Lytechinus pictus: one gene and its partner. The protein of the gene in region 1 binds, or shares a complex with, the protein of each later gene. Links are inferred from orthologs where the notes say so. Each region holds a gene or a part of one and is shown on either strand. Other genes may lie near its edges.

Evidence for each region. The genes of interacting proteins can lie anywhere in the genome.
Region 2: regulator of G-protein signaling 11-like (region 1) and regulator of G-protein signaling 9-binding protein-like share a complex: the UniProt entries of both Homo sapiens proteins name them as parts of the RGS9-1-Gbeta5 complex. The link is inferred for Lytechinus pictus from reciprocal best matches to the Homo sapiens genes RGS9 and RGS9BP.

Annotation. Positions count from the first base shown.
Region 1 is NC_087254.1:35,610,673-35,619,056, reverse strand, and holds the start of regulator of G-protein signaling 11-like, read left to right. Parts: upstream 1-5,107; 5' UTR 5,108-5,124; coding exon 5,125-5,200; intron 5,201-5,590; coding exon 5,591-5,803; intron 5,804-6,599; coding exon 6,600-6,664; intron 6,665-8,384. UniProt on the Homo sapiens protein: Inhibits signal transduction by increasing the GTPase activity of G protein alpha subunits thereby driving them into their inactive GDP-bound form. Binds to GNAT1. Involved in phototransduction; key element in the recovery phase of visual transduction.
Region 2 is NC_087249.1:10,164,848-10,173,080, reverse strand, and holds the start of regulator of G-protein signaling 9-binding protein-like, read left to right. Parts: upstream 1-5,131; 5' UTR 5,132-5,573; intron 5,574-8,233. UniProt on the Homo sapiens protein: Regulator of G protein-coupled receptor (GPCR) signaling in phototransduction. Participates in the recovery phase of visual transduction via its interaction with RGS9-1 isoform.

The DNA of each region.
Region 1 (8,384 bases):
GGTAGATATTGAATGATCTAGATAAATATTAGATTACGATGGCGCTCAAAGGAGGGGGCAGGGGTGACCACTTAATGATTTTTTTTTTCAAGCAAGAAAACAATTAGGGGTGTGAAAAATGAGGGAAAAGGAGAAAATTTAAGAAGAGAATTGGATAGAGTGTTGGGTCACGGAAATATACAATACTCATTTCAATTAAATGACGTAATTTCGATGTCGTCTGCACACCCCCCCCCATTCGAATACTTTTGTGTCGCCCCTGATTAAACAGAACTGATATAGTGGGAGGTATATTATGTAGAAAAATGTTGTAAAATGGATTCAATGTATAAAAAAAGAACCATGTGGTATATAACTAAAATTAGTATATTAACAAATAATGTATGAGTCGAATACTGATCAATTATTTATGTTACGAATTTAGGAAATAATGATAACTTCTCAAAATATCTTTGCCATTGAATTCCAAATTTCAATCGTGGGATCGAGTGCACACACGTTAAATGAGAATTATATTCCCGTAAAGGGAAGCAGGAAGATATCGGGGAAATATGCCTTGATCCATTTCAAGTGTGTCGTTTAACTTGGAGCACGGAGGGCTTGTATAATTACTTCGAAAATTTATGGCGTTGCCATGGCACCATGCATGCATACGAGCGAGTACCGTATCCATTTGTAAATTACCACAACTACTTCAACCCGAGGAGCCAGAGTAGTAATGAGTCGTCCACCATTAGAGAGCAAAATGCTTAAACTCTCTATTAGTAGAATGATGATCAGTATACATATAAAGATTCGCTGACTGCAATGCAACGGTCACACTAAATAATCAGGGTGGTATTTTGATAACGTTCTTATCTCTGTTCTTGTCTTTTATCGTATCTCATTGAAATAAGAAGACGCTAAAATCATTGAAAATCGTTATTCTGACAATCTTTTTAACGCCATCTTTAGCGCGCTTATTCGCAAATTATAAATTTACGCGCTCAGCATAGGTAGTAAAGCAAGAAAAGATAAGAACGTTTTCAGAATACCAATTTCAGATCGTAACGTAGATAAGAGCATATATTAGATAGGAACGCTTTCAGAATACCATCCCTGGACATTCTAAGCATTTTTTTAAAACCATAAACAGGATGAGTACCTTACTAAACAATAACTCATACAAGCGCGAAGCGCGAGCAAGAAAATTTATTTTTCTGACCTAAAATATATAACATTTTCTTTCAAAAAGGTATTTTAGTTTGAAAAGGGGCATTTTTCCTCCGAGGATTTTTTTTTTTTTTTTTTTTGGGGGGGGGGGGTGGGGGAATACCCCCTGCTCCCCGGTTCGCAGCCCCTGCAAATCGCATCTACAATTGCAATTGAAACAGTTCTTGCATCACCAACATCAGTAAAAGGGAAGAATATCGGAGCTGATACTGTATCAGTTAGCGTGTTAAAAATGGTCACGTTTAATTTCCGTGTATCGACATGCGTTCTTCTTGTTACCGTCTTTCCAAATTTGTTTTACGTTTATTGATTTTGATTTTGAAAATAAAGGCAAAAAGCAAGGGTATCTCTATACTTTTAACATGTGGAAGATATAGGCCTCCCTACTGTCAATAAAACAGAAAAGGAAACATCAGTCAGAACAAACTCATCAATAAAACGATATAGGCCTTATATTGATAAGAAATGGGGGGGGGGGGGAGGGGGAGCGGCAAGACGGCCTTCATTGTTCAGCTCAATATTAAAGACAAAAAGGCAAATTCAACATATCTCTTATTACAGTGACTTTGATCTTTCATTTTTTTGTTATATAAATTAAAGTTCATTTTTGTTTTTTTGTAGGGCCTACATTTAAAACTATTTTAATTGTGAAGCTCTTTTTAAATTATTGTTATTACTAACATTATTGTTGTTATTATTATTATCATTATTACTAATTGTTACTCGAAGCGACGTCATTTTTTGACATCTCGCTAATGGCCTTTCATCACTATTTTGTTTATAAATCATCATCTAGAAGAGATAAAACATCGGGGAATGAACAGTGTAGAATGCAGGAAACTTGCTATGAAAAGACGCAAATTACTCATATTATTCATGCTAGTTTATTCATTTATTCATTCATTTTTTAAAATTCTACACTCTTTTTTTTACAAATAAAGTTGATAAAAATTAGACAAATTAAAATGGAATATTTACCATTATGAGCAGAAGACATATATTTCTGAACAACCTTGAGCTCTTTAGTGTCATACCTTTAAAAATAACAAATACCTACCAACCCAACATGTGTTTCTACCTCCATTAGAAGATAAACAGATACACTCTTGGCCAAAATGTGTTATAAAACACATTGCATTGCGAGGTAACGTAATATGTAAGTGTTTTCATGGAATTCAATTTTCAATTAATTTGATGGCACTGTTTTTTTTTTGTATAAATTTAAAATTAAATTGGTGAAATTGCTAATAAGGGTTTGCTTGGTCGCTACTTGAAATTAGCACTGTCACACGCGCTCCCGCGCATGCATTTGATTCGATTATTAAATTGCTCGTTCAATTTCATACGTTTCCTCTCATTACTTTGTTACTGAGTGTGTAATGGGATTATACACCCATTCAAACCACTATCAAATCAACACACTGTAATCAAATCTAAGCAAGTATCAATGATGGATGTCTTTGCTCATATGAAATGCATGCATGAATACTGCAGAGTACACTCACTTACCATATTGTGCTGTTATTAACTTAAGGATACAAATATATAATTTGAGGCCTATAGTTCCTACTACCCAAGAACGTGCTGGCATTTAATGGATAACAGCAATACAAATTATATTATGATGATAATTATAATAATAATAATAATAAATAATAGTACAGTTCTTAAATACGCATAACACCTACTGGGGCCCGTTTCATAAAGGAACTTGCAACTGTTGTAACTTTGCCATAATGGCAACTACCATGGTAACAGGGCTCAGCAGCCAATCAGAATCAATGTTTCCATGGTAGTTGCCATAACTGCAAAGTTACAACAGTTGCAAGTCCTTTATGAAACGGGCCCCAGGTCTCTATGCGCGAGGAAAGCGAGAAATGTGGTGAGAATTGTAAATTTAAAAGTTAGACATCAAATAATTATACATAAGCTCAAAGAATATTAAACATGGATTGGACCTACATGTGACTAAATTAAACATTCTGAAATAGGTGGGTTTTTAATTGTACTTTGAATTTCTCAAGCTGGGTAATATTTCTTAATGTCGGTGGTAAAGAATTCCATTGTGCTGGTGCAGCTTTTTGGAAAGCCCGATCCCCATATGATTTGGTCTTGACAGTAATTGCAGAGAGAAGATTTTGTGAGCCAGAACGGAGATTACGCTTGGGTTTATGAATTTGGACAAGTTCTTGAAGATAAGCAGGGGCAATACCATGAATACATTTGAATGTTAATATGAGAAGTTTATATTTGATATTATCATAATACACAGCCCAAAGAGCGCTGTTTATAATTTCATACAACGCTGCTCACATGAAACTTGCAGTCTATTAAACAATCATGCTTAATTTATTGAGAATTACGTATCAAAATTAAACCTTTAAAAGATTTTATACACTTGTTTAAACTATTCAAGAAACTAGTTGTTTGTATAAGGTTCATAATATAGTAAACAACATTGTATGAAAATTAAATTCCCCATGTTTGCATATTCATTGTTAAATGATATGTAGATTTCACAAGTCAAAATTCCCATAGTATTCGACAACAATTATTATTCACAATCAGTCGGAATTTAAATGTTTTCAGTCGTTTGATTAAAAAATACTTTCTCGTTGTATTTACATGTATAAATTACCTTGAAAACCTTTCATAAATGGGGTTATAACGACGAAATGAATGACGAAATGAATAGATAGGTGAATGAACGTTTATATTACCATTTCAGCACATTCAATCTATAATTCTTCTTTGATTAATATCATTATTGTCTGCATGTTGTAAACACGATCTTTTAGCTGACTGATCGGTTATTATATACCAATAAAATGATTTAAGGTTCCATGCAATAGAGGTACCTTTGTTTCTCACCATGTAGAAAATACTCATACAATATTTCCCCCTTATTTTCTATATTTTTTTTTGGGGGGGGGGGTGGTTAATGAGTTACAGTGAGTTTCCTTCATTACTAAGGGATTTCCCACGCTACTAACAAAAGATAATATAAAAACACAACGGCTACTAACGAAATTCATGTACATCCTTTGTAAATATTGTGATTTTTGATGATTTGAAAAACTTAAATATATATATTTATATATATAATATATATAAATATATATACAGAAAATCTGACACTACCATCCATCTCCTTAAAAGCAGAAAACACTAATTGATATCACAAGAATCAAACAAACGAAGGACTTATAGGTTAATGAATTCAAATTTTGAACAGATTATTCATGCTTTACTTTGTAGTGTATAGGTCTGGTCTAATACATTCTTCTGCTCGGTGTGAAACAACAAGAGAAACCAAGCAAATCCTGGTTTATTTGGATCGTAATGAAGTTTGATAAGCTATAGCTGGAAAGGTGAAATAGTGCCAAGCAAAAAGTTCGTAATCATAATGGTCGAAAGTAAAGTAAACTACATGTATCACGAATTGCTATGATAAAAACTAATCTGTATTAGGAGTATGGGCAGTGATTTTCTGTTGAAAAAATGTCTTTCCGTTTCTGAAAACATGTTATTCCGTTTCAAATGGAAATTCTTTTTTGTTATTGAAAATGTACACAGCTAAAACGTGAAATCCGTTTTTCAAAGGTTGGCCTTAATTCAAATCAATATTCTCATGAAAAGTACAGAAATTAGTTATTATGTTTTTATAGTAGGCCTAATACTAGTTTTTTGCTCAATTATAGTTTAACTTTACATTGGAGATTTGTTGATTATTAATTTTCTTAGATTCCTCGAGGATATATTTCTCGATTTATGACGTTTTGATCACACAGAATACAACATACAAGATACATGAATAATTCTTGAAAATGCTATGTTTCCTTGCATGTTTATCTAACCGTGACGGATGTCCATCTTCTGACGTCACAATAGATTGAGAAGATAATACGTGGTATGCAGCATGCTGATCATGGTATCCCAACTCGTCCACAGAAGGTCTTTCTTACCTCAGTTCCATGTGCCTTCACGGGTGAGTACCTGGTTTCACGAAACAATTTGTACAAAGTACCGAATGACTTCACTAACGATTAGTGTATAGAGTGCTAAAGTAACTAAACAATATTTTACAAGTTACTGGCTTAAAAACTTTGTGTAAAGTTGCAAATGACTGGTGAGTGATAATGTACCAAATGATTACCTAGAAGTTCTTTCTGAAAAAAATGTTTTTAAAATTACGAGTAACTTCACGAAAAATTGGTGGTGTATGAAGTGCCAAACGATACCCTAAAAGTTATTGTTCTCTTTGTAAAATTGTAAATCGGCATTACAAATTACTGTAAAAAAGAAGAAAAGTATGATTCTCTTGCTATCAACTGATATGTATTTATAATAACAAATTTTGAAATGATCCTCCCTTCAGGTATCGATTTAATAGAATGGATCACTAAATTATTAGATGTTCACAGTACGACGGAAGCGACCCATCTTGCCACTCTGCTATCTCAGTATGGTTATATTTATCCCGTTGAACCTACAAAGACAGTGTCAATCAAAGAAGACAATACACTCTATCGATTCCAAAGTCCCTACTTCTGGACATCACAGGATCGATCGCACGACAATACTGATTATGGTAAGCCGATTGTTGGCAAACATTTTTTTTTCATTTCATTTCACTTATTCATTTATAATACCATTTGTATATTTACAGGTTTTAATGAAACAAATCACAGAAAAGTTACAGATAAGAAAAATTATATACATAGTAAATTGAAAAACAAAAAGTAGCCAAAGTGCTAGTCAGGCCTCACCACACTTTGTAAGTAATGCATTATATTAGAATTCAAAGCTAATTGAAAAGAAAAGAAAGAAAATAATAGTTGACCAAACGAGTTGGCGGTAATAGTCAAATATGACTGGTCGCCATTAATTTCCAACAAACAACAAACATAATGATTTTTTTTTTAAATCTAGACCCTTATTAATTTATTTAAGTTCATTAAGGTGATTAAAATTATAAAAATTGTGGGAAAATATACATTTGTGTGTGACTGTGATGTCGTCTGTCCCACCTTCAATCAATACCCGATGCCCCATGTACACATTTACATAAATCATAATTTAGTTGGTCATGCAAACAAGTCAATAGGAATGAAACTCTCATGCATGGAAAACAAGGGAAGGGAAGCAATGGGAGAGAGAAGCAATGGGGGAGGGAAGGGAGGGAGAGGGGCAAATGGTTGGGGGGGGGGTAGGAAGTTCCAGGTAATGAAGAGGGAAACAAGTGTAATTATAATTGATTACATTTATCGCAGTGTAACAAGGAGAGGAATATGAATTATTTTCATAATTTCACAAAATTTTCTTAGGGTCATATTAACATTTAGATTTGAATAATAAACTCATTCGTATTTTCTTTCCCTGTACAGCTCTTTACCTGGCTAAACGAACAATGAGGAACAAGCAGAACTTTGGATTAGAGGAATATGAAAATGTAAGTTTACTAATCCACGCAAAGTCTTACTTTCCTTAATAAAATTGTTTCTTTCATACTTTTATGTGTGCATGTGGTGTAAACCAAAATCTTGTAAACGATATTTTAGAAGGATCAATAACCAAAATTTACTAGGGGAAAACACCCAGGGGTAAAACTGTCAGAAATTGATAATGAACATTGGCTAAAATGTAATAGAGAGATATATGGGACTGGAAGCATAACAAGCAGAGAGTGATGAAGAGCAAAAAAGTTGGAACTTGGGTTAAATTTGCATACTGAATTATCTTATCTTATTGAAATGCGTGGCTTGTAAAAGCAACAGAATGTGCTATAGGTCTGCATTTAAAAAAATGTATTTTCTCGTACCTGACCACTGATAGCACAAGAAAACGGTATTGATTATGGAAAGTAATCATATCCCAAAGCAAATTGGAAATGAATATACTTTCATTTCACTTTTTGTTTTCTTTGTTTTGAGATCTTATTCATATTCAATTTTCCTTGATGGCAGTATTCATTTGATTTTCAAAACGTTAGTCGTCGGCTTATAAAAAAGGTCATTGACATTGGTAATATTCAAAGCGATTATGGCTTCCATGCGAGAAAGCAGTATACAACGCTGCGTGTGATTTGTCTGGAGCTTGGTGAAGGCTGTTGCACTTCAAATTAATTTTATAGATGATTAAATTAATTCCTGGACAGCTCAAAGCATATCCTCATTCCACTCTGTTACCATGGCGACCAAGAATAACCCCATCTGTTCTGATCAGAGCAACTCATTTCACCACCCACCTGAGCCACAAATCATCTCCCTTTCTCTCTCTGTCTCTTCTTTCTTTTCTCTCTCCTTCCCTTTCTCGGTGTCCTGACTCCTGAATTGGAATTGAAACTGAAATTGAATTTCTGTTTATTGTTTGATTGTAAAATCTGGGAAGCGTTTCATGAAAGGATTTGTGGGACGTTTTATCCGACAACTTCCATTTTAGTTGACGGTTACCATAGCAACAGTGATTCTCAGCCAATCAAAACCAAGGAGAGTTGTCACATCCGACAACTCGCCAGTGAAACCGACTTCGAACCGACCGACGGTCATTGGAAATTGGTTTGGTTGGTTGGTCTGGGTTATGTTCCGTCGTTGTGACTATTGAATCAGGGTGGCTGGTGTGTGTGTGTGTGTGTTTGATTCTTGTGTGTCCCTCTTGATAGAAGCACTATACATGTAAAAACATACAAACACACTCAGAACCTCGCACAACCTCCCACACATCCTCGCACACCCACACGTACTCTCCAAAATCATACATATTGAGAGGAGTAAATGTGAACTTAGGCGTATTGACTCAACCCTATATTTATTTTGTAAAACAACTGTTTTATTTGTTTCTTTAGGGCCTATATGTTTTTTGGTATAATTTTTTTGTGTTTAAAAAATGACAGAAAATTAATGTTTATTTAAAAAAAAAAGAATTCCTTAAACAATACAGGCGTACCTGCAAATGTGTGTTCAGTTATCTGTTTGTGAATACACCATAATGCAACTGTTGAAATCAAGAAAGTCTATCTTTGGTTGTTTGGTGATTAATTTAAGAGTTGGTATAATTCATTCAGTTACTGCCACCTGGAAGACATACTTCTTTTGAGCATATAGCAAAAAAAAAGCCATTCAAGAAATAAATAAAGTACAAACAGATTTAAAGTTGATGAAAATACACACTGA
Region 2 (8,233 bases), on another chromosome or scaffold:
ACGATTTGCTACCGTAAAAATTATTACATCAGAGTTAAGAAAAAAAAGCCGCCGCCAGATGTGGAGTGCCCGAGGGCTCAATATTAGGCCCACTGTTATTTCTGAATTATTTATACGATGTATCTTGTCAACTTAATTTCACTCATTTTGCAGATACAAGTGATTTTTATGTCAACCCCATCCCCGGTTCGTAAATAATAAATTTAAGTCTAAATTAGTACTATTAGATAAATGAATTTCTGTAAAGAAACTAATTGAATATTAAATAAAATACATGAAGAAATGCACACGATTTAACGGATTGGGGAAACAAATATATTTCATTAGCATCTTCGTTAATATTTATAGGGATAACAATAAACCAAAAATATGACATGAGCACACTTGTTGGCATTACCTGCAAGTTTTCAAATGAGTTGGGAGTATGAAATAATTTCGATTTTTACCAAGATTCATAATGATGAATTCTATCATGTTACCTTACTTAAACTTTTGTAATATTGCCTTGTGTAGTTCCAATTGCAGAAAAGGGTTGTCTGCATTATAGTCTTTAACCTTAATTGCCCTATATCGAAATCACTCTTTTCTCAATTACAGATTTTGAACGAATAGCTCAAACTTGTCTATGTCGTCAGTAGCGTAATGAGCCCAAAAAAAAAAATTGAGGGGGAAATGTATGCTGACGTATTGGGCAAAAGTTATAAAAAGTTCCGAGCAAAGCGAGCGAGCAAAAATTTCGACAATTTTATTGCAAAAATTCAAAATTGTGATATAGAATTTGACGTAACATTTAGAAAATTATATCAATATTTCACCCTTCTCTCTTTGCTTCTCCAAGTTCCTTTTCTCTGCTTTGTTTTCTTGGTCGTGATTTTTTTGTGGGGGGGGGGGGGGCCAAGAACCTCCCCCATCTGTAGGGCCTACGCCACTGATATCCGTTTTGAAGTAAAAAAAAGTATGGATATTGCTGGCTGGTTTTCACACTCGGTCCACTCAAGGCCGCGGATGCTGTTATTGAAAGGGGTATATATAGGCTAGTCCGGGCTGAAAATAATTATTGAATTCAATAAAAAAAAAACATTAATTTTCTTCCATCTTCACAAAATATCACATTTTTCAATATAATCCATACAAAATTAAAATAGCGTAGATATACTTAAAAAAGATCTGTTAACAGATCTGTTAACAGAAGACGGCGCCATTCCCTAAACGCTAAACTTGTGGTGCATGGGATATATACGCCTGTACCACAAATAGCCTACAATACAAATACAAAACAGGAAATGAAGTAGGGCTAGGAAAAGGGCATGAAGAAGAAAGGCAAGGGAGTGGATCGAGAGAGGGAGAAGTGTGCAGGAGAGCGGGCACATGAATTGCCTCAGCAAAAAGAGAGTACAACAAATTGGTGTGGAAAAGGGCAGCATGCATATAGTTCATTATCTAAAATAAGACTTGAAAAAATAAAATGAATTAAATAGAAGTGTAAAATGTGAAAAAAAATATTCATAGTACTAAATAGGTTCATTATTGCGGAATGAAATAATCGCTAGAGGGTATTCATTTGTCTCGCAATCTATTATGGTCAACAAGGAAATTCGTGATCACTCAACAGATGACGCAGGACACCATCATTGGTTGGCCTCGCCTCATCTCATGTTTAATATTCACAACTCAACAGCGATTAGTAGAAGTAAACTTATCATCACACTATATATATATATATATATATATATATATATATATATATATATAAATATATATATATATATAAATGTTTAAAGTTATACATGGACAACAGCTTTGGCAACTCTTTTATTTGAATATTGTAAAGAAATGGATGAAGAGAACAATGGTAGGCGTAGCTTAAATCAAGGTTCCCCAGAGCTATCTACCCTTTGGGAAAATTTGGTGATGCCGAAAAAATGTCCCTGCCGGGAATCGAACCCGGGCCCCCAGCTTTGAACGCCGGTGCCTTAACCACTAGACCACAGAGACAAGCATGGCGGCTTGTCATTGTTCGAAAGCCACCTTCACACGACAAAGGAAATTATAATTGGTATAGTGTCAAAAATCTGTCTATCTGACGGTCAATCGGATCGGGGTCGCCCTAGCCACTAACCCGTCTCTGTGGTCTTGTGGTTAAGGCACCGGCGTTCAAAGCTAGGGGCCCGGGTTCGATTCCCGGCAGGGACATTTTTTCGGCATCACCAATTTTTCCAAAGGTTAGATAGCTCTGGGGAACCTTGATTTAAGCTACGCTTACCATTGTTCTCTTCATCCATTTCTTTACAATATTCAAATAAAAGAGTTGCCAAAGAGGTTGTAAATGTATAACTTTACACATTTATATATATTTATATATATATACTGTATATACGGTATATATATATATATATATATATATATATATATATATAGTGTGATGATAAGTTTACTTCTACCAATCGCTGTTGAGTTGTGAATATTAAACATGAGATGAGGCGAGGCCAACTAATAATGGTGTCCTGCGTCATCTGTTGAGTTGGCCTCGCCCGGGCCTCGCCCCGGGCCTCGCCTCATCCCATATTCTCATTATCAGAGGCGTCGATCCTGGGGGGGGGGGGGGGGGGCAGGGGGGGCGATCGCCCCACCAATACAAATATTGGGGGGGCAAACATATCATTTTGCCCCCCCCCCAATAATTCCGGATATGCATTAAAAAAAAACAAGATTGTAATGTTCAGCAAGCGAGATTGAGATACACAACTCGTTCTTTATTTAAAATCGTGCTCAAAATGTCCGCTTTTCAGATTGGAATATAAAAATTTTCAGCTCGCGCTTCGCGCTCGCATCATTTCTGTAGCAAAAACCCATACTTTTCATGATTAAATTGGTGAATGTAAATGTCCCATTTTCAGTTCTAAGCCTCAAAAGAACTGCTTCAATTTGCAATCATCTTTTCTTGGATATATAGCTTGTTCTTTATCAAAAACGTCCAGTAAACTGTCATTTTTTCAGATCGAAATATCAAAATTTTCAGCTCGCGCTTCGCGCTCGCATCTATTCTCTTTTAGATACAAATCTTAATCATTGGTACCAAAAATGCTTAGAATATCAAGTTTTCAGCTCAGAATATAAAGAAATTTGAGCTCACTCTCGGCACTCGTACTATCTGTGTAGTGAGATACGTGTCTGTGTCTCATGAGTCATACATATATATATATATATATATATATATATATATGTGTGTGTGTGTGTGTGTATATATAATATATATATATATTATATATACAATTTTTGACAATGATTTTTGACAATTTTTGACAATGATCTTTTTAATAAAGGAATATTTAGCGTTGATCAAATCTTTGATAATGGCCACTTGAAGCCTGTGACTTTTTTTCAAAATCTCGGTATTACCGCAAATCAACTTCTCCAAATAATAGATATTGTGCACGTTATACCAGCAAGCTGGAAAAATTTTAATAGTTTAATAAAGTTTAAAAAAATTGATTTGGTAGACTTTGGGATAAGTATGAATATTGGAAAACAGGAAACAGCTTTTGAAGTAATTAAATCAAAAACAATTTATAACTTGTTTATTACTAAGCTACAAGAGCTATACAAGTTAACACTTAAGGATGGTCACAGTGATTTTGATTTTACTGATGTAGAAATTTGTAAATTATTTGAATATATCAGGAGTACAACTCTTATAAGAAAACAAAGGGAATTTCAGTTTATGCTTTTACATGGAGCAATATATACAAAAGAGCATTTGATGAGATTTGGTTTCGTGGGAGATAATTATTGTTCGTTTGGTTGTACAAAAACTGAATCGTACTTTCATATACTCATGGATTGCATAAAAGTTAAACCTCTTTGGCAATTTTGTATTGATCATTTTTGTTTAGCTGAATTAAGAACTTTGAATTGGAGGGAAATATTCTTAGGGTTACCTGGAAATTCTTGTAGAATTAAATGTGTCAATTCTGTTATTCTTTTTATTAAATATGCAATTTTTAATTCCAGAGCTGAAGGCCGGGTACCGTCATTTATTAAAATACACAAATATATAACGGGTTGTATAGAAGAAGAAAGACGCCTGGCAACGAAGTCAGGCAAGTTAAGTTTACATTTGCAGAAATGGGATGAACTGAAGGTGAAAAGGGATTTGAATGTGAACAGGTGGGATGTGTCTAGTGTGGTGCGAGTGTGAATCCTGGTGTGTATGTTGATGTTTTTTTTTTCTTTTTACTAGTTCTTTTCAATTTCCCCTTCTCTTGTATCAATATGATTTGCAGGTTTTTTTTTCTTTCTGTATCCTATTGCGCCAAAATGTTAAACGTTCATTATGCAGATTTGTATATATTATGTTTGTTTACGTATGCGTGGTATGTGCATGTGTGTATAGGTGTTAAGGTGGGTGTGTGTATGTGTGTATAATTATGTAAAGTTATGTTGAAGCTTGATTTAAAATGGGATGCAATGATAATACATTTAGGTTGATTTCTGTTCTCTGCAAATCATTTATATAGCCATTTAACATTAATTATTATTGAAATACATAGAGGGTTGGGGACTCAGTTGAGTTATTTTTTTTTCAGATATAAAAGTATAATTTTAAGGAGTTTCATTCCGTCCTTATTTGCTTCAGTTCTTGGTAAATATATATGTACTTTTTTGCATATCCTTGTTGATATGAAATGAAGATTTGTATTTTGTTTTGTATTTATCTGCCGTTTATGTAATTCATTTGAATGAAATCCTTAATAAAAACATATTGAAAAAAAAAAAATATATATATATGTATGTGTGTGTGTGTGTGTGTGGGTGGGTGTTTTGTACGATCGAGCGCCTTTGGAACGTTAATGATTTCGCCCCCCCAATCTGAAAAATGGATCGACGCCCCTGATATATATATATATATATTTGTGTGTGTGGGGGTGCCCTTGCATTCACGTGGCAGAACCCTGCCTCCCCCTCCCGCCTCCCCTCCTTTGAGGCAACATTTCATTGGTACCGAGAGGATGAAGAGTATGTTCCGAATTTTTACTGTTTTAGAGCTGATAAATATCCTCGCGCGAGACGAGTTAGTTGTGTAGGTACGTACAGGTTCATTAAACGATCAACGGGATATACCCATAGATGTATACATCTCTATGGATATACCCGATATCGAAACGACGATCTCGAGAAGATGCTAATGTATGGAGTGATGCGGTTGAGGTTGAACTGTCTTGAAGTGGGATCTGTAGTTTCTGCAATATGCCACCATAATAATCTTGCCTTTGAATGAATGTTAAGAATCATGGTGCCAGAATCATTTTATTGTTAAACTCAATTAACGTTAGAACTGCGTTTTTGATAGCAAAAGTCTGATGCGCTGAGCATGCAAGTCAATGCTGAAATTGATAAACGGAATCTGACAACTACCGACCTCGTTCGTAGGATGAGTGCTGCCGCCCAGCCAGGCGCACACTAGCTGACCGAGTCGTCATTTCTTGCCATTTGGGGAGAGCCACCTTTAAATTGAAGTTGGCTTTGCTTCAATCATTCATGTGAACTGAGATCTAGCTGCAGCTGTTGAGCAAGTGAGTGTCTAGACCAAAAGCTTCAGTTAGGGAGTTCGGTGAAAATGCCACTTTCAGAATTTGTATCTGTCTGTGGCTGTGCACCCATGCCATGGCCATGTAAAAAAAGTTATAGGCCAGGGGCCCGTTTCTCAACACATGGACAAGTTAGTCATATCTTTATCCACCAACCACGGAGTTAGTTCCAATCTTACTAAACCTGTTTCTCGAAAGGCTTCTTAACTAGAATACCTTGATATCGATACTATCGGTAAAAAGAGCAGACGAGACGTAGCCTTAGTCACAAAATAGCATAATTTTCAATTAGAAAAATTATGACAAAATTGCAAATATTATGATGAATTGGGAAATAAATCTTTTCAAAATAATAGCACAGGTGAATTATGCATCATACATACTTAGACCATGAAGACTGGAGCATTCAATTGCAGAGAAAATTAAATTATGAATAATTCATTTCATGACTAAAGAATCACTTGCGGACGTTGAGATGGGTACCCCCGGGAGACCCAATTTTAATAGTTTACAAAAGTAAACCATAAAAGTTTTCTTTGTAAAATGATGATAATTATACGGACTTTTACGATTCCAAACGTCATCAAAATATAGTTTAACGAAACATTTTTAATCATTGATACCGAAAGATATGATATTGGACAAATTATATGCATAAATTAGAGATAGAATTTATCCAACTGTTAATAGGGGTCTGAAAACAACAAATACGAGTTCAGTTATGGATGGCCTGACGTGGTAGAATCTTGATCGATTAAATCATTTTACTATTTCAAAATGAATGGTTTTGTGGCGTTTACCAACAGTTTTTATAGTTTCTTTGTGTTACAATTATCATTGAATGCATTAACCCACTTGTTTTGTGATGTAATTTCAACCTCTATGATTGATTACGTAAGATTATAATTTTAAAATTTCTAGGCACTTTCGCATGTCATAGTCTACCCACGTGATGCCACTACGTCACTAAGAAAGAAGTTATGACAGGTTCGGAGGTGTCATAAATATTTAGTGAGGTTGTTGTACCCGATCTTGGTAAAGAGGGCTTCGTGAAACGGTTAGCGGACAAGTAGCTCACTATCTCCGATTTAGTCAAGAAGTTAGACTTATGACGGTGTTGAGAAACGGGCCCCTGTAATATAAAACAAATATGAAGTCATTATAGGAGGAGGAAGAACCCTATACTATAGAAACCTATACCATGAGGAACTTTGAAGTTTTATGAATAAAATGATGTATAATTCAAGGGCATGCCTTGCCCCGCATAGCAGTGCATTGCACTTCAAAAAAAAGTATTACACAGTCCCATTCATTGCATCTTGTGTAAGTTATGAAAATCTACTTTTTGCTGTAAAAAAATCTGCACATTCTCCCGTTTAAACAGAAATATCTCTGTCAATATTTGACATCCTGAGTTGATTTATGCACCATTCTTTTTCTTATTTCACAAGCTTTCCAATGGTACCAAATTTGTTAGGATTCCTTCAAGATTTCAAAAAGCAACTGTCTCCCCCTCTCAAACAAGCCTTCAATTTAATATTTTTTTTTGACAGAACAAAATCTGCATATTTTCCACTGTAAATTGGAATATCTCCGTCAATATATCAGACAATGAGTTGAATGAAGCACCATTATTTTTCTCATTTCACAAGCTTTCCAATGATATCAGTATCACATTTGTTGGGATTCTTCAAGATTTCAAAAAGTCACCAAACTCCCTACTTCAGTCTCTGTATTTTGGTTGTTCCGCTGAACTGCGTTGGCTCCACTCACCAATACATAATGGGGATTATAATAGTAAAATGTCAGAAATTGTTAAAGGGGAATGAAACCTTTGGAACAAGTAGGCTTGTGTCGAAACAGAAAAATCAAAGAATAAGAACAAAGAAAGTTTGAGAAAAATCGGACAAATAATGAGAAAGTTATGAGCATTTGAATATTGCAATCACTAATGCTATGGAGATCCTCCTATTGGCAATGCGACAAGGATGTGTGATGTCACATGTGAACAACTTTCCCTATGATGGACTATAAAATACCCCCAAAATGTATCTTTTTGCTTTTTCTAATGGTGATACAAACTCTTTATCCATGATGTATTCTTTAAAAATCTGTATTACATGCCCTCCTGTAGAAAGAACACATGATCCATTGATAGATGTGATAAAAGAGGCAGTTTAAGTGAAATATATACTAAGGTAATGGGGAGAGTTGTTCATGAGTGACATCACACATTTTTGTCACATTGCCAATGTGAGGATCTCCATAGCATTAGTGATCGCTATATTCAAATGCTCATAACTTTCTCATTATTTGTCCGATTTTTCTCAAACTTTCGTTGATTTGTTACTTTGATTTTTCTGTTTTCACACAAGCTATCCTGTTCCAAAGGTTTCATTCTCCTTTAAATAAATCCCCAGAAACAATGGTTATTCCTGTCTAGTGAGTGTCACACTCTGTTCATGTCCTTTCTATTCCTTTCTCCCAATATTAGGGTCTACTTTTTTAAATTTTAGAATGAAACCTTTGGAACAGGATAGCTTGTGTGAAAACAGAAAAATCAAAGAAAAAGATCAACAAAAGTTTGAGAAAAATTGGACAAATAATGAGGAAGTTATGAGCATTTGTATAATAATATACAAACA